Linked DNA regions of Notamacropus eugenii. The protein of the gene in region 1 interacts with the protein of each later gene in a pairwise test. Links are inferred from orthologs where the notes say so. Each region holds a gene or a part of one and is shown on either strand. Other genes may lie near its edges. The genes, in order: MOS, MTMR9, HOMER3 and SEC24C.

Region 1 (6,202 bases):
TATCTATCAATGACATTTCCAAAGAAGCCACCCCCCCTCATATCCTTTAAGTGGGGCCACAATCTAGGAACATTTCAAGTGTCGTAAGCCTTGAAGGAACACTGCTGTCATTTCTTTCAGTGGAGTAACTTTTAGAAACCTGTCCCCACCCTGATGGGAACATAAAGTTTAGTTACAGTTAGCTGTAGCCCTATCCCTGAACAGACTCTTCCCCTCATTAGTGCTTTTTTTAACCAATCTATGTATGTATGGCTTCTAGTCCCTTCACCTTGTTAGTTGCTTTCCTATTTCAGGTTGTTAATGTTCCTCTTAAAATGTGCTTCCCATCACTGGAAACCTACCTCCTCTCAAGCCTTCCCAACTACCTCAGCTTTAAAAAATAATGCCAGCTCACAGTTCAATTTTTTTTTTACATTTTCCCTCAGAACTATCCTCTCAGGTAAGTAGTGAACATTCCCATTTTAGAGATAAAAAAATGATTTGGAGAAGTTAATCGATTTGCCTAGTGACCCTGGAAATAAGTATTAGAATTGGGACCCAAATCCCAAGTCTCCTTCTACTAAACCAGTAGTTAAACTTAAATAGAAATGAGGCTACTGAAGGCACAAAGGATCCCTGTCTGTTGTGTGTTTACTTAGAAAGCCACATATTAATGTTATCTACGTTTGATTGACTTTATTAATTTTGCTAAATAGTCCCTAATTACATTTTAATCTGGTTCTGGACATAACAAGTGTTGTGGAATGGCTGCCTTTTTGATGATCTCTGCTTTGCTGTGCGTATACTACTCTGTAATATCTTTGTAATTATAAGGGGCAGCTAGGAGGTGCAGTGGATGGAGTGCCGGGCCTGGAGTCAGGATGATGTAAATTCAAATCCTGTATCAGACACCTAGATGCTCTATGACCCTGGGCAAGTCTCTTACTCCTGTCTGCTTCAGTTCCTCATCTGTGAAATGAGCCGAAGGAAATGGCAAACCACTCCAGCATCTTTGCCAAGAAAACCCCCAATGGGGTCACAGAAAATTGAGCAGGACCGAAACAAACAGCTCATCAACAGCAAATATATACATACATATATATATGTATATATACATATAAACCCACACACATATATACACATATTTACATGCATAGATACATACATATACACACATATATGTGTACATATGTATACACACATATATTCTCATTTTCCAAACTAAACTGTAAGCTCAAAGACAAAGGCAAGGATTGTTTATACTTTTTTTGTTTGTTTCCTCTACAATATTTAATACATCTTTCATATAAGGAGGGGGAATGTGCCTGTGATTTCCCTGTTATAGGGAACCTAACAGTGAGGAAACCCCCTCTACCAATGCACTTTGGTGCCTGTTCTGAAACTTACAAGTTGAGACTTTTGCCTAGAACTCTGGGAAGCTAAATGAATTGACTACTCAGGTGTCACAGAGGCAGTACTTTTCAGAGGCTGTACTTGAATACCCATCTTTGAGGCTCAGGTTAGTTCTTTATCCACTTTTGCACCTTGTTTATGATAGATTCTTAATCAATATTTGTTGAATGGATGAACCATCTAAAATTCATGACAATTCCTGACCTGCCTTTCAGCCAGGCACTACTTTAAACTAAGTAGAGGTGGATGGTTTTTGGGTGGGAAGGGAGCATTACACCAAGGATTTTAAAGCATTTCGTATCTGTTAATCTGCTAATGTTCACAATACTCCTGAGAACTCAATAACAAATTTTAAAAATTCTTTAGTGAAGCTCCTCCTAGTCACACCCAACTTCTCCATTCTGATTCCACTGTGGAGCCTTCTTTTTTTAATTGAGTAAAACGTTTGAAAAGTGTCCTTAGTTAGAACTGCCAGTGAGGAAGGCAGAATAGTGGTTTAAGTACTTAACTTAGATACTTACTGACCTGTGTTAGGTTGAGCAAAGAATATACTTAATTTTTGAGTCTCCATTTCTCCATGGGGACAATAATATATTACCATGTTATACCTGTGTCATGTAGTATTTTGTTTTAATTGGACCTGCAATTTTATCTGTATAAGGATGTCCCAGTGAAAAACTTCCTTTACTAATTGCAGACCAGTACTGTCTCTGTGAGTTGGAGGTCTTAGAAAGTTCCCTGGGGCATCAAAGGAGGAAGTGATTTGCTTACACCCACAAAACAACCCTTGTGGCCAGCTTTCTATCCTATGCTGCTTCTCAAGAAAATGCTTTGCACAACTTAAAATGATATACAAACACAAATTGTTATTACTATTACAAAGCAGAGACCTAAGGTAAACCAATTTTTCAAATAAGCAAATACTATTTATTGGCATGCACTTATACTTTATAATATGTGTGGTATTTGAAAAAAAATAACTGCATTTCTTTTTAAATAATCTATGATTTTACTAATTTGGGTGAAATCTCCTTATATCAATTAGATTTTTACTGTATTGAATTATCACCATTGTTTTGAATAAGTGGTGAGTTTAAGACCCATGGAAGTATTGTGATTTGTCTAAATCCACATAATAAGTTAGGAGCACACTCAAGCACAGAAATCACACTATAGAGCTGGGAGGACTCCCAAGTTAGTTGTGTCTGACTCCTTGTAACCCCATTTGAGGTTTTCTTGACAAAGATACTGGAGCATTTACCATCTTTCTCCAGCTCATTTTACTGTTGAGGAAACTGAGGCAAACAGGGTTAAAGGACTTTCCCAAAGTCACACAGCTATTAAGTATGTGAGGCCAGATTTGAATTCAGAAAGTTGAGCCTTCCTAATTCCATGCCTGGCATTCTATCAACTGCCCAACCAAGGTGTTTATTCTTATTCAGTTCAACAACCATTTAATGAGGGGCTCCTATTTTTTACACCATGAAATCACAGATCCTTGATATGTTGACTATGCACTACTACTATGTTAGGCTCTTCAGTAATATAAGGCAAGAGACCCTGAGCCCACCCTTGGGACTTTACCACAAAGTGGAAACACACACACACAACTATAATCCAAAGTAAAATTATTTAGGATTGGGATAGGTATAAATAAAGTTCTAGAAGAGGTCAGGAAAATAAGGGATTATTCTCCCATCTAGGGGGATGAAAGAAGGCTTCATGAAAGATGAATTCAAATACATCACAGACATGGAAATATAAATGCTCACCATAAACTTGTGCCCTTACAATACACATAAATACTCCAAGCAGGCTGGCCAAGTGACCTAACTCAGAAACAGAAAGTGGAGTTTTGGTTCCAAATCTAGGCTCTGATTATCTCCATAAGTTATGTTTTCCAAAACTGAGATAATACTGAACTTGGTGCTTTCTTCATAAAGCAGGCATAAAAAATTTTCCAATTATTCAGTAACAATAACTTAATTACTTGTTTTATGTGTGAGAGAATTGTGTAAATGAATGGTTTCTAATACCTTGTATTGTACTTCATGCATTTGCTCTACATAAGCATCAGAGATAATGCAGACTTTTTTAAACTTAAGTTTTCTTCTGCTTTCTACTGTATATTTAGCACTATTTGAGGCTATGACTATGATTTGATTCTTTATTCTTTCCCCTTTTGTTGCCAATTTTACTACAAGACTTCTGTAACTCATTTGTCTAGAATCTCTTGCTAGTGAACTCACTGGGTGGGCTGAATTGCTATGGTAGGTTAGAAGGATTGTAAGGAATTCCTTCTATATGTTGCTAAGAAGTATTGCTAATTTCCTCTCAATGCTGAATGGAATGTCAAAGCCTTAACTTTTTCCTGATACGTAAGGGAGAGAGCCTTGACTTATGGGTGTCACTGCTTTTGTTTATATCAATTACATTAACATTGCAATTCCTTACTGCTGAATATTGCACCTAATTGTTCCTTTAATAAGTTAAACAAATGTGTGCTGTTCTTATTTCAACTATTTCTGCCAGTAACTGCTGGCAGTTATTTAACGCAGCTGGAGACAAACGCTGACAATCACTTTAGCCTGAAAAGTGTGAAATAATTTCATTTCATTGTTGTGGTCTATGTAGTCTAAGAATGGATTTCAGCTGATGACACTTGGGGGAAAAACTTCCTTTTAATGAGGGGCATAGTAGAAAAGGGAACACGTTATAAGGTGAGCTGTAGGGCATATGCCATTGTTTAGGTGGTGAACTCAGGATTTTTTTAAAATAGAACTTGTGTTACGCGTTTGAGATCAATGCTTTAATCTGAAAGTGATTGGTTTTGCCCTCATTCAGAGACTGATCAAATCCCATCAGTAACAGATGCAGCTTATTTTGGGGGGGTTGGAGGGGTGGGAGAGGGGAGATGAAGGAAGAGGATAAAAGAGGCAGTGATGGATCTGAGTGAGCTGCCATTCTTTTTTCCTCTCTTTCTGCATCCAGACGCGCTGGTCCCCAGCCTCGAGTGCCCGATGCCTTCCCCAGTTCCCCTGACCCGCTTCTTTCCCAGAGAGTTCTCTCCCTCGGTGGACTTGCGGCCCTGCAGCAGCCCCCTGGAGCTCCCGGGGAGCGGAGGGAAGCTCTTTTTAGAGGGCACCCCCTCCCCAAGGGCTCGGCGGCTGCCCCAGAGGCTGGCCTGGTGCTCCATTGACTGGGAGCAGATACGCTTCCTGCAGAAGCTGGGGACCGGGGGGTTTGGCTCTGTCTATAAGGGCACCTACCGGGGCCTCACCGTGGCGATAAAGCAAGTGAAGAGGAGCAGTAAGAACCAGCTAGCTTCCAGACAGAGCTTCTGGGCCGAGCTCAACGTGGCCAGGCTGCGCCACAAGAATGTGGTGCGCGTCGTGGCCGCCAGCACTTGCACTCCTGCGGGCTACAACAGCGTGGGCACCATCATCATGGAGTACGGTGGCCACACGACCCTGCACGACGCCATCTACGGAGCCAGCTCTGTACCAGACGACCCGGAGCCCCTGGACGTGGGGAGATGCCTCCAGTATTCCTTGGACGTGGTCAACGGCCTGCTCTTTCTCCACTCTCAAGGCATCGTCCACCTGGATCTCAAGCCAGCCAACATTTTGATCGGGGAGCGAGAAGTCTGCAAAATTGGGGACTTTGGGTGTTCGCAGAGGATAGAAAATCTGCCGGGCTTGAGCGCCCGCCACTGCCACCTGGGCGGCACATACACACACCGCGCCCCGGAGATTCTCAAAGGAGAGGCAGTGACCGGCAAAGCAGACATCTATTCTTTTGCCATCACGCTCTGGCAAATGGTCACAAAGGAAGTGCCCTATTCGGGTGACCACCAATACATACTGTATGCGGTGGTGGCCTATAACCTCCGGCCACCACTCACATCCTCTGTCTTCACTGACTCGCTACCTGGCCAAAGACTGGAACACATTATCCGATGCTGCTGGACCGCTGACACGCTGGTCAGACCCAGCGCAGACTTGCTCCTGGGTGATCTTAATTCCTTGCACGCTTACTGGGCAGCCTTGAATTCTAGAAGTTAAGTCAACAAAAAGCTTTTCTGTGCGTCTGCTTATTTCTGTGTTTTCTCTTTCTCTTCACTTGCTTCCATGTGGAGAGTTGGAAATGTTTGGTGTTTTTTTCAATGTATTTCTTGATTGCAAGAAATTTTAGAAAATAAAGTGACGTGAACTTTTGTGGGTCTCATTTAAATGAGATTTACTACAGAGTTCCAAGTTCTGTAATTAAAACCTACTTCTAATTAGAAACTAACCTCTGAGCATTATGTCATTTTGAACTGGCTTTCTGCTGCCGCTTTAGTTTCAAAGCTCTTTAGGATTGAATACATACAAACTTACAAGTTGTGAAGCTGACAAAATTTGCTTTTATGAGATGGAACCCAGTTGCAGACATTCCGCAGCCAACTCAAATGCAGGCTGTTTTTGAAGAAATGCATTATGCATATATTCATGTAGTACTTCATTTTGCGCTTATGCCTTATCCATTAAATCCACACTGGGTCAGTTTCTGATAGATGTTCTTTTTCCCACAGTAGACTGGAACAGGTATCTTAAAAAATGTTTGACCTGAGAAAATCAAGGCACAGAGCTGAGTGACTTTTCTTGAGTCACATTCTTATTTGGTAAAACTGAGACTAGAATTTGTTTTCTAATTTCTAACTATTAGTCTCATGTTTTAAACTTCTGAGAAATTTATCATCTAAGAAATAGTTAATAGCCAACATTTACACAGCATTTGCGATGTGCCAGGCACTGTGCTAAGCTCTTTA
Region 2 (7,754 bases), on another chromosome or scaffold:
TATCTCTGGCACTACAACTCCCCCATTCCCTCATGTGGGCTGATCTTCCATTGTATAGACCTTGGACTAGATTTCTCTTCATCATAGCCCTCTGAATCACTTTACCTTGTGCAGTTTGCCAAGCTGTGCCTGTCGTTTCAGGGCAAGGATAGTCAACAGAAAAGGGCTGACTGCCCGGCCAGCCATGGGCTGAGCTGCCACCTACTGTCCATAGAGTATATGAATGTAAATTGTTATTAATACTCCCCGTAGACCTGGACCCCAAGTGTTCATTTGCTTGGCCTCAGTCTATAGTAGATATAATTCTCTTGAATTAAGTACAGCAACATCTTGGCAAGCTGGATGGAAAGCATAATGTTGTTAATTCTAGCCTAACAAAGACCAGATTGTAAGCTCCATGACAACAGAACAGAATAGTACTCACATTTGTTGCTTAATAAATGTTTGTCGACTTGAATTCAATTCTCCTTTGTATGCTATTGTCATCATCATAATCATCATCCCTCACTTTGGACAAGCTTTCAGTTTAAAAAAAATCACAAAATTAAAAAGCACTACAGAAAGTTTCTCTGATCTGAATATTATAATGATGATGCTAGCCTATTACATTTGTGTGACATTTTATTGTTACAAAGCACATTGCAGATGTCATCTGATTTAATCCTCAATACCATTAGGTAAGTAAGATATATTGTGACTCCTTTATAGATGAGGCAACTGGAGCTCAGAGAGAGATCAAGTGATTTGCCAAATGTCATATTGCTAAGGCAGGTTTTCTTACTCCTTTCAAGTTGAATGTTCTTTCTATGATGCTTCCTTCTCACAATAGAGCATCTATCTACCTATTGTACTTACTCCTCTATTTTCCCTTCTTAGAGTCTCTTCTCCCAAACACTCCTTGTTTTGAAAACAACTAAAAAAAAAATCTGTTGTTCCATCCCTCCCATTGTTTTCTTCTTCTCTGAAACAGCAAGCTAGGGTACTGATTATTTGAGGCCTCTAAGAATCAATTTCATAGCTAGAGATAAAATGCTCTATAGAAACAAAACCTAAAAGGTAATTTTAAAATTAATTATTTAACCTACCTGTTTATTTTTACAGAATGAATGTGCCTTGTCCTAGATAAAGCACTAGCTTGGGTTAGAGAACAGGAGAACAAGCAAGAGTTTAGCATTGTTTGGCATGCAGCAAACTATGGCAATTATACCTATGTAGCCAGTAGGAGGTCCTTTGGGCACATTTTACAGTCCTTCAGGGAAATCCTGGAGCAGTACTCTGGGGCTACCTGGAACACAAAATTTTAAGTCAACAATAAACCAAGTATTTATTAAGAACTTTCCATGAGTCAGCCACTGTAATAAATGATGACACGAAAATAGTTCCTCCCCTGGAGACGTTTACATTCCAAAGGAGGAGACATTATATAAACAACTATGTACATTCAGGATATGTATATAAGGTAAATTGGAGGTGAAGACGCTAGCAGTGAGGGAGAACAGCACAGAAAAAGTGTCTTGTACAAGGTCAGAGATGAGCTGAGATTTGAGGGAAGCCATGGGAGGCAAAAGGAAGAGATAGGAAGGGAGAGCCTTAATTCCAAACAAAACAAAGCAAAGCACTTTGTTCTTTGGGTTCAGGTACTTAAGAGTACACATATATGTATAAAACCCATAATTATAGAATATACGATTTCTTCTGATAAGTAACACAGGCAGACCTTAACACAGGGTACAATGTTTAATAAGCAATGATGCCCTATAACCTATAATCACTGGTTCAGCTATTCAACAAAATGATAAAATCCATTAGCCAACCTCAGTCTTGCTGAGTCTCTCCCTGACACCTCTGAGAGTAATGCAATCACTCTGAAGTTTGAATCCTTTGAAGATCGGATATCTTGCCTCTCCAGGTAACAGGCTCCTGAAAGTATCCTTAGAAAAGAGCTTTTCCAACCCCCTTCAACTTTACCATTGAGGAAAATGAAACTCAGAGAGATTAACTAATTCACCCAAGGTCCCCCAGAATCAGAGCTAGAACTCCATCCTAGCTCTCCAGATTCTAAGTTCAAAATGCTCCCATGAATCATGATAACAAAGTCACTTCCACATGAGGCCCATTTTAGGTGAGACCAAACAGATATGTTCTTCTCCAGAGAGAAACCAGCAAAAATGTTTCTACTTGTTTAAATTTGGCCAGAAGGGAAAAAGCAGTAAAAAGGCAAAAAAATGTATATGTGTTTGTGATAGGGATTATCAACCAGATTTGAGGCTGCCAGGAACTAGCAGATGGCTGCCTGAACTGAGGAAGACTGCCTAGCTCCCATATATCTTTTCTAGCAAAAACCTGAAATTTGCACCAAACTGAAAAAATGATTATAAAATCTAATGAGAAACTACAATAAGTGACTTATTCTCTCAAAACTATACAAATAGCCATCCAGAAACTCATAGGTAATAGGAAAGGGGAACATTAGCAAAACCAGTACCAGCAGAGGCAAACAAGCCGGTGGCCTTCCAGTGTTGCCAGTGAAAGTACTGTGTGCAAAGCCAGCAAAAAAAGAGGAAACCCTCCCAAGAAAGCTTTGAGTTGTCAGAAAGCCCATGGAGGGTCAGAAAAGAGCAGGAACCTTGAAAGTCATCAGGCGTGGCAGTGATGGGTATGATACTGATACTCAGACCTCCATGGACCCCTAGCATTGTATTCTGCTTTTCCAAATTGGGTCCAAAAGATCCAGAATCCAAAAGATCTCTGAAATCTAAAGATGGGGGGGGGGGGGGGGGAGGAGGCTCTAAGCCCAGGTGGTAGAGGACAGCACAGGATCCAGGGAACATAAGGGAACAACAAACAGAGCCTACAACCTCACCCAAAAGCAGAAGGGAAGAGAGGATGACTCTTGCACAAAGCTCTAATTCAAGTACAGAAGTTGGACAGATGAATGAACCAAAAAGGACACAGATCAAAGAAGAGAGAGATAGAATATAAAAAATTACTATAGATCCAGAGATGCTCTCCTATCAAACTTGTAAAGAGAAAGTCACAACACAAAGTATGCAAATAAAGACTCAAAGAGAAAAATGAATTTTCCAAAATGATAATGCAAATATCTAAAAGAAAGAAAGACATACAAGTAAAATAAAAAGGTCTGAAGGAAAGAATTGAAAAGAAAATAAATAACTTAAAAAAGAAAATGGTAAACCTTCTCCAAAAAATGGACTCCCTGAAAACTAGGATTGACCAATGGACCAAACAGAAATCAATGACTCCACAAAACAGCAAAAAATATTAGAACAAAATCAAAAAGTTGGGGGGAAAAAGAAGAAAATGTAAAGTATCTGATATTTTTCAAGTGATTTGAAAAACAACCGACTTGGGAAATAGGTCAAGAAAAAGAATTTAAGAATTATTTGACTCTTTGAAAATCATTTCTTTTTAAAAGCTAGATCCTGTATTTAAAGAAATGAAAACCACTCAGAGCTCTTGGAAGCAGGGGGCAAAATAAAGTTAGAAAGAATCCTTAAAGTTATCCTAAAAAAAAAAAAGTTCCAGAACTTTGGCAATGTTGTTGCCAAAAAAAATAGTTGCAAGCATCCAGAAAGAAATACTTGTACCAAGGAAAGGTAAGCAGAATTGTACAAGACCTGGCAACAAGAAGGAATAGTGGGATACAGCATTCTAAAAGACAAAAGAGATGGGGTCACAACAGAGAATAATTTACCCAGCAAAGCTGAACATACTCCTGGAGGAGAGTGGGGAGGGATGGGGCTTCATTGGACTCGATTTTCAACCATTTTTGATGAAAAAACCAGAAGTAGAAATTGTGAAATACAAACAAAAGAATCCAGAGTAACCTAGAAAGGCAATTTAATTTGAGCAACTGGAAGAGGACGTGCGGAATTCATGACACTTTTTCAAATCAAGAATAAAAAAAAAGCACGCGAATGACATTGACAAGGCTCACGTGCAACCTCTTTAATACGAAGGGCAGGGGTGGGGGAGGGGTGGGAAGAAGCATGTATTAAACGCCTACTGTTTTCATTTTTTTTTTTTTTTTATCCAACCCTGCGGGGTGGTTACTCTTAGGATTCTCATTTTACGGTTGGGAAAATGAGAGTGAAGCTCTTTGCCCAGGGTCTCCCTGCTAGCTTTGGAACTCAGGTCTCGCCGAACCCAGGTCCGGCGCACTTAATGCCAGCTCCTGATGCCCCCTACAGGAAGTTATTCTCTTTTTCACTGTACCGCATCAGTCCTCTCTGGGCTTCAGTTTCTAGGGTTGGAGCAGACGACATTTAAGCCCTCCAATCCGCAGGCGCATGTTTCAATCACGCGCGATACGACCGTTGGCGTCACCGCCCGAGCTTCGCACCGTGGGCGGCCTCAAGTGGGCGGCCCCGTTATTCCGGGGCTGCTGAGGCTCAGGGGAGTCAGGGTGGCAGGGACAAGACTTCCCACTTACTTCCTCCCATCGGGCATGAGATGGGTAGGAATTTAACTCTGAGGGCACCGTTTCCGGTCACGAGACTCACAAACCTGGTTTCACAACTTCCGCCCGGAGTCGACGGAGGGCTCTGAGCGTCAACTACTTCCTCCCGGAGTCGACCGAGGGTGCTGGGCGTCAGCTACTTCCGCCCGGAGTGGACAGCGGCCAGGAGATGTGCGGGCCTTGAGATCCCGGCTCCTTCCCAGCCCCCCGGAAGAGGACCCTCCCCTCCCCCGGGTCCCCTCAGACGGGGTTGCCGGGGGAAGCAAGCTGGTGGCCGCTTGAGACCCCGGCTTGAGCTTGGTGCGGGAGGTGGGACCCTCCGGACCAGGCCCGCGGGGCCGGCCGCCGGGGGCTTGAGAAAGCAGGGGAGAGAGGACGGAGCAGGCCCCGCCGCGCCTGCCCCGGGCCCCGGGCCGAGATGGAGTTCGCGGAGCTGATCAAGACTCCGCGGGTGGACAACGTGGTGCTGCACCGGCCCTTCTACCCGGCCGTGGAAGGCACGCTGTGCCTGACGGGCCATCACCTGATCCTGTCCTCCCGGCAGGATAACACCGAGGAGCTGTGGCTGCTCCACTCCAACATCGACTCCATCGAGAAGCGGTGAGCCCAGCTCGGAACGACGGCCCCTGCGGGCCTCGCTTGCCTCGTCCGTTACCAGGGTCAGGGGCGGGGCAGGCTGGTCCGGGCGGCCCTTTGTGAGCCCCCCACACTCCTGCCCGGGTCTATTGTCCCTCTCTTTGTATTCCCTGGTTTAACCCGGGGCTGAGCCCTGAGTCGGCGTTTAGTAAGAGTTCCTTAATGTGTTTTAATCTCCAGCCTGGAACAGACGGAGAATGCTTAAGAAACGAGGGAGTAGTTTTCCCCCTGTCTCCAAAGCAGCTTCTGCCTTCCTGAAGACCCTCCTGAGGATCTGGATTGTAGGAAAGGGGGGAAGCAGGAGTAGTGGCCCAAGAGGGGAGCCTCGTCCTAGGCCACCTGCTGTCCCAGCCATCCGTTACTCCGAGGCATAGCTTCAAGTGGTTCTTTGTTAACTTGAATCGTTTGGGATCATACACCAGGTGTCTTTACCTGTTGTAAAATTGAGATAATAATGCTTCCTCGCATACATGTCTACGGTAAGGTAGGATCTGTACACTGCTTTTGACAGCTGAGTGAGACTGGAGCTTTGGCTCTTTCGGTTCTAAGACCTGTCTGAGCCATCCTCTGTCTCTTGTGTTGGGTTATCTTGCTCATCCTACCACTTGACTAGCCTTTTATGCCCCCAAGGCGTAATGTTTATATTTTTAGTTTTATAGCTTTAAATTTCCACCTGGATAGCTAGTTGATATTAACTATGCCTACCACTTCCCTTTTTTGTCCTGGATCCTCTTTTCTTTTATCTTGGTCAGCTTATCAACTCCAGGAGGTTCAATTATCCTTTCTAGCTTGACCAGTCTCCAGTATACAACTAGCTCTAACTCCTTCATTGGACTTCAGTCTCACATCAGCAACTCCCTACTGGACATTTGGGACTGGATAATCCATAGACATCTCAAACTCAGCCAAAACATTATCATTATTTTTCCTCCTTCCCATCCTCCAGTCTTTAATGAACTTTCTCATTTCTCTCAATGACACCACCACTCTTCCGGTCATCCCAGTTTAAAATCTGAGACATCCTTGACCCCTCACTGTGCCTTCCTCCATTTATCCAGTTAGGTGCCAATTCTTATTTCCATCTCCACAACCTTTCACATCTGTTCCCTTCTCTCTGTTACTAGTTCAGGCCCTATATCTTCTGGATTCTTGGTAGCCTCCTGATCAGTTTCTCCTTTCTTCAGTCTTTCCCCTCTTCAAACTCAATAGAAATTGATTGATCTAGAAAACCATAAGTGAACATTGTTTATGTTGTATTTTTATTTCCCAATTTTTCCAATTCCCAATCCCAACATTTCCCAATTACATTTTAATCTGGTTCACTCATTTGATACCTCTGCTCTACACAGCCACTGAAATACTATTCCTAAAGCACTTTGTCACTTCCCTTTCCTAAACTCCAGAGGCTCTTTTTTCTCTGTAGGATCAGTAAAGTCCTTTGGCTTTTAACTTTGTATCCTGGCTGCCTTTTCTAGACCTGTGGTATCTAACTACTCTGCACATACCATCTACAGTTATTCCGAATTGCTTTCTTGTTCTTTACACAGGGCAATCCATTTCCCATCTTCTAGCCTTTGCTCACTTTGTTTGTCACTCTATCATTAGGTGAGATAATATGGTCTTTATAGTCAACTACTTCAGCTTTCACTGAAAGAAATAGGTCTTCCCTAATAGGTTCTGCCCTGGGCAGAATTGTGAAATAGAGACAATTTAGGTCCAAGTCACCTCTCACTTTTGCAGTCTTCAGCCTAGCTGTCTTTAAAATTGTCCCCTCTTGGACTCAGAAATTAGACTTGTAGAATGTTGGAGGTGAGAAGGACCCCAACTCCTTCATTTTGCAGATGAGGAAACTGAAGCTCAGAGAAAGGAAGCAGTGTGCACAACTAATACTGACTAGCTGTCTGGGAGGAAATTTAAATGTTTGACAGCAGCCTGATGTGTCCCACATACAGGGAACACTTAGGTTTTAAACCAGGATTCTTAGAAAGGCGGTGCCTTAGACAAATATCTAATGGGGAAATTTCTGGTGGGAGAACTTAGGAAGGCCTCTTTTCCTTCAGATTAGTAAAGTGGTTACTCAGTAGACCTTGTTTCCCAATATAAATGGTTGTAACTTTTGTCCCTGGCCTTTTTGGTTCTTCACCTCAAATATTTATCACTTGCCCCAAAATTGAGTGCCTGTGTGTCTGTGTGTTAGGGCTAGGCACTGTGGTGTTTGCAAAGAAGAGATATAAAGACTTTCTACTTTTTCTGCACCCACACAAGCTCTTCAGCTTATATTTCAGTAGAGGAGACAATGTACACAACTCACACAGCCTTATTTCAATCCTCCCTTTCTCTTTACTGTCATGGCTATTCTTATTACTTTGCCTCTCTGAATGCCTTTAGTTTTTCTTCGACCAGCCTTCCATTCAGAAAGAAATAAAAAAGAATCATAAGCCCCAAACCATCACAATGGAAACATTTTCCCCCATGTCCCTTGTTATTTTTTACATTTGATAAGAGGTCTAACTTTATGTCTGTCAGATTCTTTTATCATGGTTGTATTTGAATTCCATTAATTTGCCTAAGTGACATTGTCGTTTCCCTTTTTTTGTTTTGCTCTAGATCTGTGATTTCATCTGTGTGGAAACACCTT
Region 3 (7,748 bases), about 210 Mb from region 1:
CCTTCCTTCTTTTTTCTCTTCTTCCTTTCTTCCTCCCTCCCTCCCTCCCTTCCTTCCTCCTTTATTCCTTTCTTCCTTCCTGATTCTTTTCCTTCCTTCCTTCCTTCCTTCCTTCCTTCCTTCCTTCCTTCCTTCCTTCCTTCCTTCCCTCCTTCTTTCCTTGCTTCCTTCCTCTCTCCCTTTCCTCCTTCCTTCTTCCTTCATACCTAATAAAAATACAAAAGCAATACTAAGGTCCCTGCCATGAAGGAATTTATACTCTGGCAGGTGGGGGGTGGGGCAGGAGGACCATGTACATAGAATATAAATTCCTTGAGAGTGTGGAACATTATTTCATTTCACCCTTTTTTTTAATAGCCTTGGAACCTACAGTGCCAGGCACATAGTAGGCTCTTAATAAATAATTTGTTTATTGATTAATGCAATAAAATTAAATTAAAAAAATATCCAAAGTAATTTCCCAGGGTGGGGGCAGGGGAAAGCAATAGCAGTGGAGAGGAGATTAGCGCAGGCTTCCTGGAGGAGGTGGTGGCCCCTGAGCAAAGTTAAAAGGAAGCTAAGGACTGACTGAGGCAGAGGTGAGGAGGGCAGGGTGGGTGGTTCGTGCAAACGTTTGTGGATGAGACATGGCATGTCACGTCCAAGAAGCCCAATCAGGCAGATGGGGGCAGATTGGGCAGTATTTTAAGAGCCAATCAGAGCACTTTGTATTTAATGCTCTAGGCAATCGGAAGTCCCCAAACTAGGAGTGACCTAGTCTTACCTATGCTGAATGAATCACCACGTGGCTGCTGGCGGGAATGGACCGTCTGGCGAGGAAAGAGCCTGGGAGCAAAGAGTCAGGAGGCTTTGGGCACAGTCCAGGTGAGAGGTGATGGCGGCTTGCATGGAGAGGCCGGTGGCTTGTGTGAGTAGACTGCACAAAACTTAACAAGTGGATGTGGAGAGGCCAGGGAGAAGACTGAGGATGTGAACCTGGGTGACGGTCAGGAAGGAAGGGGGTAAATCAGGCAGAGGCGGGAGGAGAGATGATGAGTTCCCTTTTGGACATGTCGAGTTTGGAATGCTAGTGAGTTCTGGGCTGGGAGTTAGGAAGACCTAGCCTCATTCTCACCTCTGGCACTCAGAGCTGTGTGACAAAGCACAAAGCACAACCTCTCTGAGTGGGTTTCTTCTTCCGTAAAGTGAGGGGGTTGGACCACAGAGCCTCTGAAGGCCCTTCTGGTGCAGATTCTCTGATTCTCTGATCCAGCTGGATCTGGCTGTTCCACTTTTGGTGATACTTAAGAGTAAGAATAATTCTGGATATAAAGACCTCGGATTCTTTGACATAAAGATGAGAGCAGACCCCCGGGAGCTGTGCAGAGACAGAGGACACCGCCATGGGAGGGGTGGGGCGGATGGGAATGAGGAGTAGTGGAGGGGCAAGAGGTAGTAGGAAAAGGATCCCCAAAGAGGAAACGGTGGTCAGTAGAGTCACTGGCTGGGAGAAGGGAGACAAGGGTGAGGCTTGAGGAAAGACTATCGAATTCAACAAATAAGTGATCATTAAGTGACTTTGGAGAGAGCAGTTTACATCGACATGTTATAAACCAGATCCCAAAGGGCCAACAAAGGAGTGGGCACAACTTTATAGGAGTTTGGCTTTGAAAGGGATCAAAGGCCAAGGCTGGGGAAACTTCAGCCTGGGGGTCACATGTGGTTCTCTAGGTCTTCAAGTGAGGCCCTTTGTATCCAGACTTCACAGAGCAAATCCCCTTAATAAAAGGAAGTTCATGAAGTTTGGATTTAGTCAAAGGGCCTCACTTGAGGACCTAGAGGGCCACATGTTTCATCAGGGTCACAGGGTCCTGGCCCTTGAATAGGTGATTGCTGGAGGGGATGGAAGGATCAAGTGAAGAGTTTTTAAGGATGGGATTTGGGGGCAGGATTGGGCCTTGGTTGTAATGGGTATTAAGGGGTCCCCTGAGCTTGTCTTTTTGAGTTGACATATTTTCCAGTTGTAATTCATGTCTCACAGACTTGTGACAGTGTTTTTGATTACTGTAAGTCAGAGTTGGATGGCATCCTTGAACAAAGAACACAGAAGACAGATTTTGGCATACTGTTGGTGAGAGGTGATGAGTGTCTGAAGCAGGGCAGTGACTGAGTGGAGAGGCCAGATGGGAGATGTCTTGTGTGAGTAGACTAGACAAAAGTTAGCAATAGATCAGGTGTGTAGGGAGAGGGAGAAAGGCTTAGATCAGACCAGATATCTTAAAGTAATTATATTAGCAGCAGAACCCAAAAGGACCTTGGAGATCCTTTATTGAATGTGCTTGTTTCACAGAAGGGAAAGCTGAGGGCCAGAGAAGGCCACTGATTTACTCAAGTCCCTTACAGATGGAATCAGGACAAGAACCTGATTTCAGCAATGTGTCATACGGAGACCAGGGAAGGCAAACATGGAGGGCAAATTTAAAATGATCTTCCCCAAAAGCCACACTGTCAAGAATTAAAAATACCCCTTGTAAACAAATTAAAATTAGAGGCTTCTGTGAACCGTGGGCCTCTCTCAATGCAATCACATATCTCTGTAACCTCTGCCCACGGACCAGATTTCATCAAAACCCATTAAAAAGTGATGAGAGGCCCTGCTCAGTAGAATTTTTGCTTAGAGATAGTGGCTAGCATTTTCCAGGGCACACAACATAGCTCAAATCTACAGCCTTTGTCATGCTTAATCTGCCCGTGTCAACCCTGTGACAGAGGTGGAACAGACTGTCCCCTCATTTTACAGAAGAGGAAAACTAGCACCCAGAAGGGGTCTCCTTAGGGTCTCCTTAGTCCACAGTGACCTCACCAAGGGATTGTGATCAGGCCTTCCCTAGGGAAGGGACCTAGTCCAACCCTGAAGTGACTTGTCTAAGATGACAGAAGCAGTAAGTGGCAGTCAGGATTTGAATCCAGATCCTGTAGACTCAAGTCCGTTATGCTTTGCAGTACACCATAAGTCTATAAACCTTCCTTATGAGTCCCTTCTGCAGCTCTTTTCCCCGAAGCATTTTGCTTGTCAGGAAAAAAAGAATGGTATTAATAATCTATAAGGAGAAAAGAAGTCATTGTAGTTCTGGGAGAGCAGAAAAAACAGAAATGAGTCTGAAGGGGTGTGGGGGCAGGGGGCCCAATTACAACCCACTAGGGAACCCTCCTCTTTATTGGGCCAAAGTCCTAATAAATTACTTCTAACCTAAGAGCTGTAGCCCTTCAGGGTTTTCAGTGAGCTTTCTATACATCATCTCATCTGGGATATGGAAGGTAGACACCCCGACCCTCACTAATGGGGGTTCAGAGAAGGTAAATGACTTGCCCACAGTCACTCAGTGGCCTCCACAGGGCCTGCCCAGTTCTGCTTCTGAACCCAACTCTCTTTCCAGCAGACCACTCCTCCTTAACTTGCAGTCCACTTTATCTCTCGTATTAGGTTTCTCCTCCCTCTGAGGCTGTGAGCCCAAGAGGGCAGGGCCTCCACTTGTATGTCACAGTTGTTAAATAAATTTGTTAAAAATTAAAGGAGCAAGGAAAGCATTAAGCAGCAGCAGGAAGGAGGAAAGGCACAGGATCTTGGGGGGAGGGAAGGGGACCTCCAAAATACAGTCAGAGAGGCCCCAACCAGCCCAGCCCAGAGTGGCCATACTGTGGAGGAAAGGAAGTTGGAAAAATTGTTAAGAGTGAGCTACAAGGGATCTGAGGAGACCTTCTAATATGATAGGAACATTTTACAGAGGGGGAACCTGATACCCAGAAAGCATCAGGAATATAAGGAATTTGAATTGAGGTCCTCCAACTCCAAAGCCAAAGCTCTTCTGGGCCCTTTCCCAGGGAACTGGCAGTCTGGGTAAGGGAGTTGATACTGACATACAGGAAGCTGAGAAGGGACACAGGATTCAGTGCGATTAAGGGCCGGAGGGTGGAGTTTCAATTCTGTGTCCTGGTAAAGCCTAGATAAAGGAGAGAGGGGGTTCGTGGGCCTCCGGTGACACTGAAGTGTGAGGAGAGAGAGAAAGAGAAAGAGAGGAGAGAGAGGAGAGAAAGAGAGGAGAGAGAGGAGAGAGAGAGAGAGAGAGAGAGAGAGAGAGAGAGAGAGAGAGAGAGAGGGAGCGCTTTGAAAAGCGGGCATGGCACTGTCTACAGCTGAGGGGTACCCTAGGACACCCACATGTTCAGTAGCCTCCTGAGCTCCAAGCACCCAGTAGGAGCTTTAAAGTTGGGACTGAAGGGTTCGGGGCAGGGTCTCTTTCTCAGTCAGCCAGTAAACACGACGCGCCTACTATGTGGCCGGCACTGCGTAAGTGTTTCCCCGCGGCTCTCTCGATACAATGTATCGCTGTGGCTGTCTTTGTGGCATGTGCTGGAGCCGGGAGGCGCCGCCTCCGCACCTCCTCCTCGCCCTCGCGGCGCCCCTGGCTGCCCGCTACGCCGCGCCACGCGGAGCCAGCCTTGACCACGAGGTGACCGGTCCCCACGGGGCGGGGCTCGGGTGTCCTGCAGGTGGCGCCGCTGAGCGGGCCCGAGAGCAGACAGATAAAGTCGGGGGGGCAGCGCGGGGCCAGGACCGCTATGGGGCTGGCGGCCGCGGGCGGAGGCGGAGGCGTTGGGGAGCTGGAGCTGGGGCTGGGGCTGGAGCTGGGGCTGGGGCGGGCGCTCCGGGAAGACAAAGACTGCGGGGCGGCGGCGGCGGCGGAGGCGGCGGCGGCGCGGGGCAGGGCGCGGCGCTGAGGCCGCCCGCCGGGGGCGCAGCGCGCTCGGAGCCCCGGCCCGAAGTTGGAACGACGCGGTGCCGGGAGCGCACGGGAGCCTGGCCAGCGGGAGGTCCGGGCAGCACGGGCAGGGGCAGCTAGCGGGTGAGCCAGCCTACTGGGGTACCCTCGGCGTTCCCCAAAGTTTGCGCCTTCGTGCCGCGGGCTGGGGCGCCGGGGGCAGCCCGGGTCTGGAGGCGCGCGGGGGTGGGGGGTGGGGAGCGCGGGGCATTGGCTGCCCCAGGGACCAGCCTGGCTCTTCTCAGCCCAGCCCGGCGCGGATACAGAGGGGGCGCAGCCCTTCCTGGGAGCTGGGGAGCAGGGAGAGGCTTGGGGAGACCGAGGTGGGAGAGGCGCCCCCTCCCATCCTCCTTATCTAGCTTCGAGGCTGGAGATGAGGGAGGTGAGGGACCCTGGCAGAGTCAAGGTCTCTAGCTCCAGGGCTGGAGATGAAGGAGAAGACCGCGGGAGGGGGGGTGCCTTGGGAACAGTAAAGGCTCCCAGCCCCGGGATTAAAAATGAGGAAGAAGATAGGGGGACCCAGAGTAAGGATCCCTAGTCACGGGGGAGATGAGGAAGAAAATAGGGGGGACCCAGGCAGAGTCAAAGTCCCCAGCTACAGAGCTGGAGGTGAAGAAGAAGGTGAGAGAGGCAGGGTTCCCAGCCACGGGGTTGCAGATAAGAGAGAAGATAGGGGGGCCTCGGGAAGAAGAAGAGTTCCCAGTCCCAGGATTAAAAGATAAGGGAGAACATGGAGGGGCAGTTTGAATAAGGGTCCCCAGTTCTATGGCTAAAGATTAGAGGAAAACCTTAGGAAGCAAGGGGGAGTCCCCGTTACAGTAGGGGAAGTAAGAAGCCAAAGGGGGAACCAAAGCAGCATGAGGCCCCCTGTTCTGAGACACTTTCTCGTCCTAAGCCTGGGCACGTTGGATTGGGGGCGATTCAGGGTGGGGGGACTACGAGAAGCAGCCTTCCCTCCCCCATCTTTGAGAACGCCTCTGCCCAGGGCGAGTTGTATGCCTCAACTTGCCAACTCCACTGTGGGCACCACCCCCTCTGTGCCCAGCCCAGGTGTCAGGAGAGGAGGAAACTGGGTGCCCCAATATCTAGGACCTTATGACCCTGAGCCTTGAGAAAAAGGGTTTCACTCCAGGGGCTCCTGGAAGCTGTGAGCTTGACCCCAGCCCAGGGTAATCAGATCTCCCAGCATGAACTCTCTTTCCATACTGGGTTGTGGGCTCTTGGGGGATTTTAGCTCCCTGACCCCCTGGTACATTGTGTCAAAACTCTAGGAGTTTGGAATGAGTAGACCCCTAGATCTCCCCCTTGCCTACCTTCTTTGTGGTTGAGGGTATCAAACTGCAGAATGCCTGATCTGGAAGGGACTCTCATCCAACACCCTGATTTTACAGAAAGGGAAACTGAGGCCCAGAGAAAGGAAGGAACTCACCCAGAGCCGTACAACAAGTGACTGGAAGAGCTAGAGCTAGCAGCTAGGTCTCTTGATTTCTATATGTGTTTTTTCTGTCCCAGTTCAGCTGATCTGACTTTTGACCCCAAAGAACTTTTTCAAAACAACTGAACAGCCAAAGAGAGTCCTGGGAGTGGATTCAAGCCAGCTGGGAGAGGGGGATGGGGCTTGCTGCCCTTTGGGATAGCTCCCCTCACCCTGCTCAGCAGCCAACTTCACCAGCCCTGCCAGGAGCACTGGTGGGGGAGAGGGGAGATGGGGAGCCCAGATGGGGAAGAGCCTGGCTTTGTGATTCATTTGGGAACACCAGGGGTGGGAAAGCTCCCAGGGAGCCTGAAGGAAGGGGGAGTAGGATAGACAGGGGTCTCAGTTCAGTATTTCCTTCTGGGAAACCTTGACAGGAAGCAGAAAGCAGGAAGGGGTGGGGGTTGGAGGTGGCAACATACAAGGATGGGGGTTGGCTGCCCCCCAAGGTGGGGGCGGAAGGGGGTCCGGTTTCAGGCTGTGCCCATGTGACCAGCACAGCTGCAAGGAGGGAGGGAAGGCAGGGAAGGGAAAAGAGGGTCTGGTTTGGGTGAAGGGAATCCTCAATCAGGCTGAAATACCCCAGACTCCCTTGGGATCATTCTCTTCACAGGACCCACAGGCTTTAGCCAATTTAAGCCCCTCTCTCTCCTGCCTAGACCCTGGCGGCAGGTTTGTGGGTGTGTTTGCATGTGTATATGTGTGTGCTGGGGGTGGGGGAGGTGGTATTACCAAACTGGGTTCCGGCAGGAAAACTGGTAATAAGGAGAATGCTGGATTTAAGATCAGGACCCGGGACTGAGTTCTTTGTATATGCCTTATCACCTGTGTGACCTTGACCAACTGCTTAATATCTCAGGGGTCTATTTCCTTCTCCATAAAATGAGGGGGTTGAATGAGGGAGTTTCTGTGGTATCTTTCTGCTCAGGACCTATAAAACCTATAGTACAGGTTCAAGGGCCCCATCAGCATTGTAGAATGTCTGAGGTATAAGGAAGGGTTTTATAAGTGTTGAATGAAAGTGATTAGGCCAGCTAGCTGTCTTTACTGCTTCACTAGGCCCCACAGGGCCCTCAGAGCTTTTGGTCTCTCTCCATCCCTGCCCTGTAGTTAGGGGAAGGGAGGAATACTTCATGGACCACCCCTAGGCTCTGCCTCACTTTTCCTCCCTCCCCTGCCAGCCTGTGGGGCTTGTGTGTTGGTTGGCTGAAGGAGGATCCATGAACAACCAAGTGTTAGTCAGTGTTGTGGGGGGGGGGATGTGGTGTAGGGGGCAGGATGAACTTTGTCCTGGGGCAGTCTCCTTGGTCTCCAGGACCTGGGTTGGAGGCCTTACGTTTTAGGGAGTGACAACAGCGTCATCCAGCCCAACTATCTAAACTTACAGAATAAGGAACTGAGGCCTCTTGGGGGCTCATTCAAGGTCGTATTAGTAATTAGTAGCAGAGGCAGCTTTCAAATTGAGATACTGACCC
Region 4 (7,468 bases), on another chromosome or scaffold:
GTAATTTTCTTTTATACTTTCTTGAACTATAAAGTCTCAGCTCTTTTTCTTTGTTAGTGATAGTTTTCAAGTAGTCCACTGATTATTAAATTATCTCTCTTAGATATGTTTTCTAGGTTAGTTGTTTTTATTATGAGATATCTTAGACTTCCTTCTATTTTTCAGTCTTTTTTTTTTTACTTTGTTTTGATATTTCTTGTTATGATGAGTCATTAATTTCTACTCGATCCATTCTAATTTTCAGGGAGTCTATTACTTGGGAAACATTCTGTACCTCTTGCACTAAGTTATTATTTCTCTTTCAAAGTTTTTCATAGCTCTAAGTTCTTTTTTTTTTTTACCCATCCCTTCCCTTATTCCCATCTCCTCCATTTTCTTGTAGGGCAAGACAGATTTCTATACCTCATTACCTGTATTTCTTATTTTCCAGTTGCATGTAAAAACAATTTTTAATACTTGTTTTGAAAACTTTGAGTTCCAACTTCTCTCCCTTCCTCCCTCCCCACCTATCCCCACCGAGAAGACAAGCAATTCAATATAGGTTATACATATGTAGTTATGCAAAAGACTTCCATAAAAGTCATGTTGTGAAACACTAACTATATTTCCCCCTATCCTATCCTGCCCCCCATTTATTCTATTCTCTCTTTTGATCTTGTCCTTCCCCAAAAGTGTTTACTTCTAATTACTCCCTCCTCCCATTTGCCCTCCCTCTTATCATCCTCCCCTCACCCCTCTTATCCCTTTCTCCCCTGCTTTTCTGTAGTGTAAGATAGATTTTCATAGCTCTAAGTTCTTTTCCAATTTTTTTCTTGAACTCTTATTTCATTCATAAAATCATTGTAACTCTTTTAAAAAAACCCCAAACTCTTGCTTCATCTCTTCCACGAATTCTAGTTGAGTTTGTGCCCAAGCTTGTGTTTTTCTTTGAGGCTTTGCTTGTAAATGATTTGGAGTCATTCTACGTATTAAGTCTCTTTCTCCAATGTAGACTTCACATGGCTGCCAAAGTGATGCCATTCCTAAAGTACAGGTCTGACCTGTCATTTCTTTATTCAAGAAATTTCTTTGGCTCCCCACTGCTTTTATGATAAAATGTAAACTTGAGTATTTGACATTTAGATCCCTTCATAATCTAGTTCCAATCTATTTTTCCAGGTACTCATACTCCAGCTAAAAGGGTCTACATACTGTTTTTCCTACATGACATCCCAAATCCACCTCCAGGTCTATGGACCATGCCTAAAATGCTCTTCTTGGACCTTGTAGCCTTTTTTGAAGTTCAGTTTAAGTGTCTTTAAGAGTTCCTTCCTGATTCCCAAACTTGTCGGTAACTCTCTTACCTCCAAAATACTTAGTGTGTGTGCGTGGGTTTATGTGTCTATATGCATATATGTACACAAACACACACATATGCATGCACATACATACACATATACGTATGAAATAAATATATCACATAATCTTGAGCTATTCTCCCAACCCCTCCTCTGAAACTAGGCACACAATAGTCACTAAATAAATGCTTGTTTGCTTGATGTAGCTACTGTCCAGCTGTCCCTTCAATGCTTGGGGTCCCCAGAAAAGGAGAGTTTCCATTAAAGAAGATTGGCTAAAGTGTTCTTATAATCAATAGTCAAGGAATTTTACATTAGGCTGCTAAATTTTTTTTATATATTTATATTATCTATTTGTCTTATGCTAGCTATGTTTCATGGGCCTCAGTTCACTTATTTGGAAAAATGAAACAACAACAGCATTTATATTACCTACCTCACAAGGTTGTTGTGAGGAAAGTGCTTGTAAATTGTAAAGGGTTATAAAAATGTGTTTCTTTAATGGATCAGTGATAAGAGATTCTCTCCACCAGTGCAGATCACAACCCATGCACACTTTAAATCATCCACGATTTTTGTTCCTGATCTCTTTTAAATTCCTGCAAAATGAAATTCATGTTGTATAGTAGAAATACCATTACATCCAGAGTAAGACAGAACCTGGGATTGATCTTCAACTTTAACTTACTAGATATGTAATAAGCAATTCACTAATGTTTTAAGTCAGTTTCCTCACCTTTAAGATGGGAAAAATAATACCTAAAGTACCTCCCACCCATAGGGTTATAATGAAGATAAAACCTATATATAGTTCTTTGTAAAATTTAAAAGTGCTATATGAGTATCAACTATTAGAATTATCTTCTATGGAGGAGCTATCCACTGTGCTAGAAGCCTTCTGCTATAACCTACCTCTGCAAGCCACTACAAAATTACAGATGCTCCAAGTTAGAAGGCACCTCAGATACTACCTACTCCAACTTACATTTGTACAGAAATCCTCTCTACACTATCAAGAAGGGTTCACCTAGTCTTTTTAAAACCTCTAGTAAGAAAGAATTCACTACCTCCTGAGGCAACCAATTCTACCTCATTTTGGATAACTCCAAACATTAGGAAAATATTTTTTACAGAGAACTTAAATCTGCTTTGTAACTTCTGTCTACTGCTCCTACATCTGTCCTCTGTGGCAAAGTAGAACAGTAAATCCCTCTCCCACATACAGTCCTTCAAATACATGAAGACAAATAACATGGCAGCTAAGTAAAAAAACACTGTGCTGGGAGTTAAGAATATTGGATGTAAAATCTGAGCTCAGACATATACCCAGCTGTGTCAACTTGGGCAAGTTGCTTAAACTCCAGTTTCCTCATCTGTAAAATGGGGACCATAATAGCACTTACCTCAAAGAGGTGTTGGAGCCTCAAATGAAATAGTTCAGTGCTTGCAAACCTTAAAACACTGCATACTATATATGTTATGATGATGACAATGGTGATGTCTCCACCAGTTTTTCTTCTCCAGGCTATATATTCCAACTGATTCTTCCAACTGATCATATTGTCTCTAAAGCTAGAGGATCTTTATTGTGTTTATTTGGTTACTCTTCGTTTTGACAAGGTCATTCTTGTATTGTGCTTTCTAGAACTCAACACAATACTCCAAATTAGTAGAAATCTGGGCAGGGTATGACAGCATTAACATCTCCCTAGTCCTAGGCTTTAGTCCTCACTTAACACGTGGTATCCAAAATCATGTCTCTGTACATTGTACTTTGAATCTCCTACAATTTTGATTCTTTGGCGATTATACGCCCAGTGTCTTGCAGCACCACTGGGAGAATACTGTGGGACATAAAAAATATTGCTCGTACTTATTATATGTTCTCATCTTTTTTTTATGGAGATAAGACAGAAATTATTATTATTCCTGAGAAATATTTTTTATCTTTGTCAGTGGAGTTCAACTAGAAACTGTCCTGGAACAAGTCACTATCCTGTCATTTTCTTTTTATGTTCAGTGTAAAATTGTTTCTTTCTGTAATGGAATAAAAGTAATTACAATGTATCCTTCTGTAGACTTGCTGAAAGCATCTTCGGCTCTGTATTTTGAAAGCTTTTTATTCCATGCAGTTTGGAGATTATGCATGAAGACTGAGTGTGATTTATAGCTATCAAAAACTTCTTCTCAGATTGTATGGGCCATGTTTTAGCACTAGTGAACAAGAGTCTGATTTGGGATAATGCTCCAGTTTCAGGACAGTTTGCTGGTTTAGTTCTCAGGGATACGTTGAGGGGTTTGGGCTACGCCAGCTCACGAGAGACGGCAAGTTTCTCTGATGTGTAACTGTAGCCACCAGGTCTCGTCTTGTTAGTCTTTGTAGCTGGTAGTCGCAGTTTCTCTTGTTTTCCTTATTATCAGGGTCACGGATGCCATCAGCAGCACCAGCAGCGCGTCCCCAAAACATGAGTTCTTCAGAATCGGGGACAGTACATCCCATTTCAGATAGGAATTCCCTGACAGGAGAGTCCGTAGTTAGCTAATCTACGGGCTCTTTCTATGTGCCCATAAGCGTACTAGGTCTCTGGGATGTGGTTAGGAAAGGGAGGGGTGCCTGTCCTCGAAGAGCTTCTATTCTACATACAACGTGTTTCTGCACGCATCCAAGCAACCAACAGGGGGCGCTGCCGCGTAGGCTTGGGCTCGGCCAAAGAAAGCCTCCGCGGGGTATGGGGGTCGGGCCTCCACGCTGAAGTCCCCGGCGCCAGAGTCTCCCTGGGTTCGGGGGTGGGGGGGTGAGAGGTCATGAAGACGTCACAGGAGCGCTAACGGGGCGTCCATCTCAGCTGCCGAGTCTACCGCCGGCGAAGCTTAGACTTTAGGTCCGTGGAGGGGGCGGTGCTAGGGGAAGGGGCGGGATGTCACGGCCCTGACACAACATCATCGCAAGAGGCGGAAACACGTCAGAAACAGCAAAGCTTCCTCCGCCGCCGCCATGACAGGGAGGCGGCAGCGGCGGTGTCCGCGCAGGCGCAACATCCGGGTCCGTTCGCCTCGTCCTAGTGAGGACGTGGCAGCTCCGGAGGCCGAGGCCTCCGTGCGCGGGGGAGGCACTTCCGGCGGCGACAGGACGGCCGGCTCGGAACCGGAAGTGGGGCCTGAGAGTCGCGACGCCGGGAGCGCAGCCGGGACAGGCGCTGGAGCCGGAGCCGGGTGAGGCCCTCGAGACGGGGGAGAGGTCGAGGACAGGGGGGCCGAGAGGAGGCTGGGGAGTGACGAGTCAGACTCCACGTCCTGGGGGCCCTTCCCGAGCGAGCCCTGTGCGCAGAGGAAGGGAGGAGCCCGGGGGCGGGGCTGCGGCCGGGCGGGAGTGTACTGGGCCGGGACCCCATCACCACCGGCCTTCACTCCCTTTGCCTCAGCCCGGGCCGAGTGCCCCACCTGGGCCGGCCTCCTTTGGTCCCCCGAGTCTGCAGCGTGGGGGTCACCCAGCCCGGAGTTCTCTTTGACCGGAAGAGGTGATCCGATCCAGCCTGCCCACCCTCCCACCCTTTAGCCCCGGCAGTCGGCTGCGGACCCACCGTCAGGCCGCTTGGGTCCTCCGGGTTCTTTCTCTGCCTTCCGAGTCCAGGGGAAGCCGCCCCGCCCCCTCGGGAGTGGGACCCGGCTCCCCCCTGGCGTGTGGCTCGTCTCTCTCCGCCTCCGACCTCCCCTTTTCTCCTGCTGACAGCCCGTGCCGCAGGGGTGGCCGGAGCGCTCCTGCTGACCCTTGCCCGGAGCAGGAGGGTTGGAGGCGGGGCGGCGATTAGGCTTGCTGCTGCTAAACCATCAGGGCAGATGCTGTGGGGTTGTTCGTTGGACGTTATTTAGCCTTGCTCTGCGCTGGGCACTGGCAACGCAGAGACAAAGTGATCATCTCTCAAGCATCATGAGTCTGGTTGGGTTGGGGGGGGGTGAAGAGGAATCTACTTGAATTGTATTGTGGATGTAAGTAGTCTTTCTGAACTGATTGTGTCAGCGTGAGCCAGGCTGGAGAAGTACCAGACAACTTGGAAATTGGGGTTACTGCGAACTGTTCGCACAGTGAGAGACAGGGTAGGGGCTCCAACCGTATCCTGACTCAGAGCAGAGACTCACAGAGGACTTTGTTCCAGAGCAGACATCTAGGTAGTCTCAGCCCTGCTTTGGGCCCAGTGTCACTTCCATATGATGCAACTTTGGAAAACTAGTTTCTGAATCTTGCCTATCCCCTTTCCCCCTTTTTTCCTGCTCTGCAGGTGATTCCAGGTTGGGGATGCACTCAGGATGAATATCAATCAGCCAGCTCCCCCTGGGGTGCCGTATGGACAGCCTCAGCCTGGCTACGCTGGATATCAGTCCAGCTACGGTGGGCAGCCAGGACCTATGGTCCCCCCTAGTCCTTATGGAGCTTACAATGGTCCAATGCCAGGCTATCATCAACTGCCTCCCCCAGGTATGTGTTTGAGTTACTTGTAAGTTATGAGGTGGTGGGGGCAGCATCGTATTGAGGAGCTTTCTTTATGTGTGCCACTTAGCATCTCCTCTTTCCTATTTCTGGTTCTTGTTCACCTTTGTGACATTTAATGGGTGTGTAGCTTCCATGTTGTATGTATTGATAATTCACTGCTTACAGGTATCGCTATGAGGTAGTATTCTAATTTCCTTGGACTTCCCTCCAGTCTGGGCACACTGGCAAGAACTAGCCGGGGAAGGGGCATGGCTACCTAGATACCCAGTTGCTTTACAAGACTGGGTGGTAGGAGCCTTGTTGTTCTGTGTCCTATTTTGGTCTACCTTGAGAATTCCTGAACTGTTCCTGGTGATTGGGTTAGGTTCTTCAGGATTGACTAGGTATAAGGACTGGAGGAACTGGATGTTTGATAAAAAGGATAGAGTTTACACATCTGAGTTTGTGGACCATTTATAAATTGCTGCTGAGATCATTTGCTTCTGTCACAGCCTTATTTCAGGCACCTTGGTCTTTTGGGTACCATGTGTGTTTGGAGGACTTTGAAAAATCACTCTGACATTCAGTATAGGGTTCATGTTTTATTAGAATTCTCCTTCAGGAAGTGTAGCACTGATTGTGTGAGCAAATGGGATTCTGTATCTTATTTCAAGTAACTCAGAGGAACATTTTAGAGAAAAGAATACATCTTTGGTGTGTGCCAAACTCAGTTTTTTTAATGGCAATGAGGTGAGACCACTGAGGACTGGTGGAAGAAATGTGAAAAATGAGAACAAAGTATTGGAATTCAAAGTTGGCAATGTAGAGACTGACTTGAGGTGAAAAACAAGTTCTCAGATTTGTAATATGTCCCTGCTCTGTTCTGGTTTGGGACTTTGGTCATGACAGAGTCCACCTGAGGCTTCTAATTCCTAATATATCACCAGTGCTTTCCTGATAACCCTGTGAAGTAGGTAAAATAAGTGTCCCTGTTTTCCAGATGAGAAAAATGAGGCTTACAGTGTTTAAAATGATTTGGTCTCAACGCTAGTAAATAGAACCACTGGAACCAGCCCTCAGGTCTTGACTTCTAGGTTCTTTTAAATATGTCATGATGCTTCTGGTTTATCTTGTCTCTTCTGGTGTCTCTACCTCCACTGAGAGCAGAACAAAAGAAACTGGGCTAGTTTTGTGGAATAATATTCTGATCTGGATTAAGGAGACTTGAGTTTCACCTCTAGCTCTGATGGTTACAAATAATCTATATATGACCTTAGGCAAGTCATTTTAATTTCACTGAGTATTGTTTCTTTATTATTTGAGCAGATTAGATTAGATGATCTCCAAGGCCCTAACCATCCCTTAAATTCTGTGATGCTAACTGTGAAGGCAGAACAGAAGTGGTAGAAGAAATGAATATGGAGTTTCTTTATGGGGAAAGGGGGAGTGACTGGTGGAGCTGCTCTTAGAACTTCTTAAGGGTGTAGAGGGAAGGTTATTTCTTTTCTTAGAGATAGAAATGGATTCATAGGATCATAGATTTAGATCTGGAAGGGTCTAAGGGTTCATCTAGTCCAAATTCTTCATTTGATAGAGTTGGAAACTGAGGCCTGGAGAATTTAAGCAGTTTGTGCAGTCACACAGTATGTGTTAGAGCTGAAGT

The links.
Region 2: the proteins of MOS (region 1) and MTMR9 interact in binary tests that used the Homo sapiens proteins (3 or more experiments, as listed by UniProt). The link is inferred for Notamacropus eugenii from reciprocal best matches to the Homo sapiens genes MOS and MTMR9.
Region 3: the proteins of MOS (region 1) and HOMER3 interact in binary tests that used the Homo sapiens proteins (3 or more experiments, as listed by UniProt). The two-hybrid records come from large-scale screens. The link is inferred for Notamacropus eugenii from reciprocal best matches to the Homo sapiens genes MOS and HOMER3.
Region 4: the proteins of MOS (region 1) and SEC24C interact in binary tests that used the Homo sapiens proteins (3 or more experiments, as listed by UniProt). The two-hybrid records come from large-scale screens. The link is inferred for Notamacropus eugenii from reciprocal best matches to the Homo sapiens genes MOS and SEC24C.

Annotation. Positions count from the first base shown.
Region 1 is NC_092875.1:274,297,450-274,303,651, reverse strand, and holds MOS (proto-oncogene serine/threonine-protein kinase mos), read left to right. Parts: upstream 1-4,076; 5' UTR 4,077-4,334; coding exon 4,335-5,456; 3' UTR 5,457-5,685; downstream 5,686-6,202.
Region 2 is NC_092872.1:610,944,295-610,952,048, forward strand, and holds the start of MTMR9 (myotubularin-related protein 9), read left to right. Parts: upstream 1-4,753; 5' UTR 4,754-4,898; coding exon 4,899-5,080; intron 5,081-5,231; exon of another isoform or gene 5,232-5,595; intron 5,596-7,754. UniProt on the Homo sapiens protein: Acts as an adapter for myotubularin-related phosphatases. Increases lipid phosphatase MTMR6 catalytic activity, specifically towards phosphatidylinositol 3,5-bisphosphate and MTMR6 binding affinity for phosphorylated phosphatidylinositols.
Region 3 is NC_092875.1:66,413,311-66,421,058, forward strand, and holds the start of HOMER3 (homer protein homolog 3), read left to right. Parts: upstream 1-4,738; 5' UTR 4,739-4,883; intron 4,884-6,190; exon of another isoform or gene 6,191-6,321; intron 6,322-6,886; 5' UTR 6,887-6,953; intron 6,954-7,748. UniProt on the Homo sapiens protein: Postsynaptic density scaffolding protein. Binds and cross-links cytoplasmic regions of GRM1, GRM5, ITPR1, DNM3, RYR1, RYR2, SHANK1 and SHANK3.
Region 4 is NC_092872.1:236,685,431-236,692,898, reverse strand, and holds the start of SEC24C (protein transport protein Sec24C), read left to right. Parts: upstream 1-4,460; 5' UTR 4,461-4,550; intron 4,551-4,733; exon of another isoform or gene 4,734-4,855; intron 4,856-4,906; exon of another isoform or gene 4,907-5,504; intron 5,505-5,614; 5' UTR 5,615-5,642; coding exon 5,643-5,811; intron 5,812-7,468. Other genes in the region: SYNPO2L (synaptopodin 2-like protein), read right to left, coding at 2,741-2,896. UniProt on the Homo sapiens protein: Component of the coat protein complex II (COPII) which promotes the formation of transport vesicles from the endoplasmic reticulum (ER).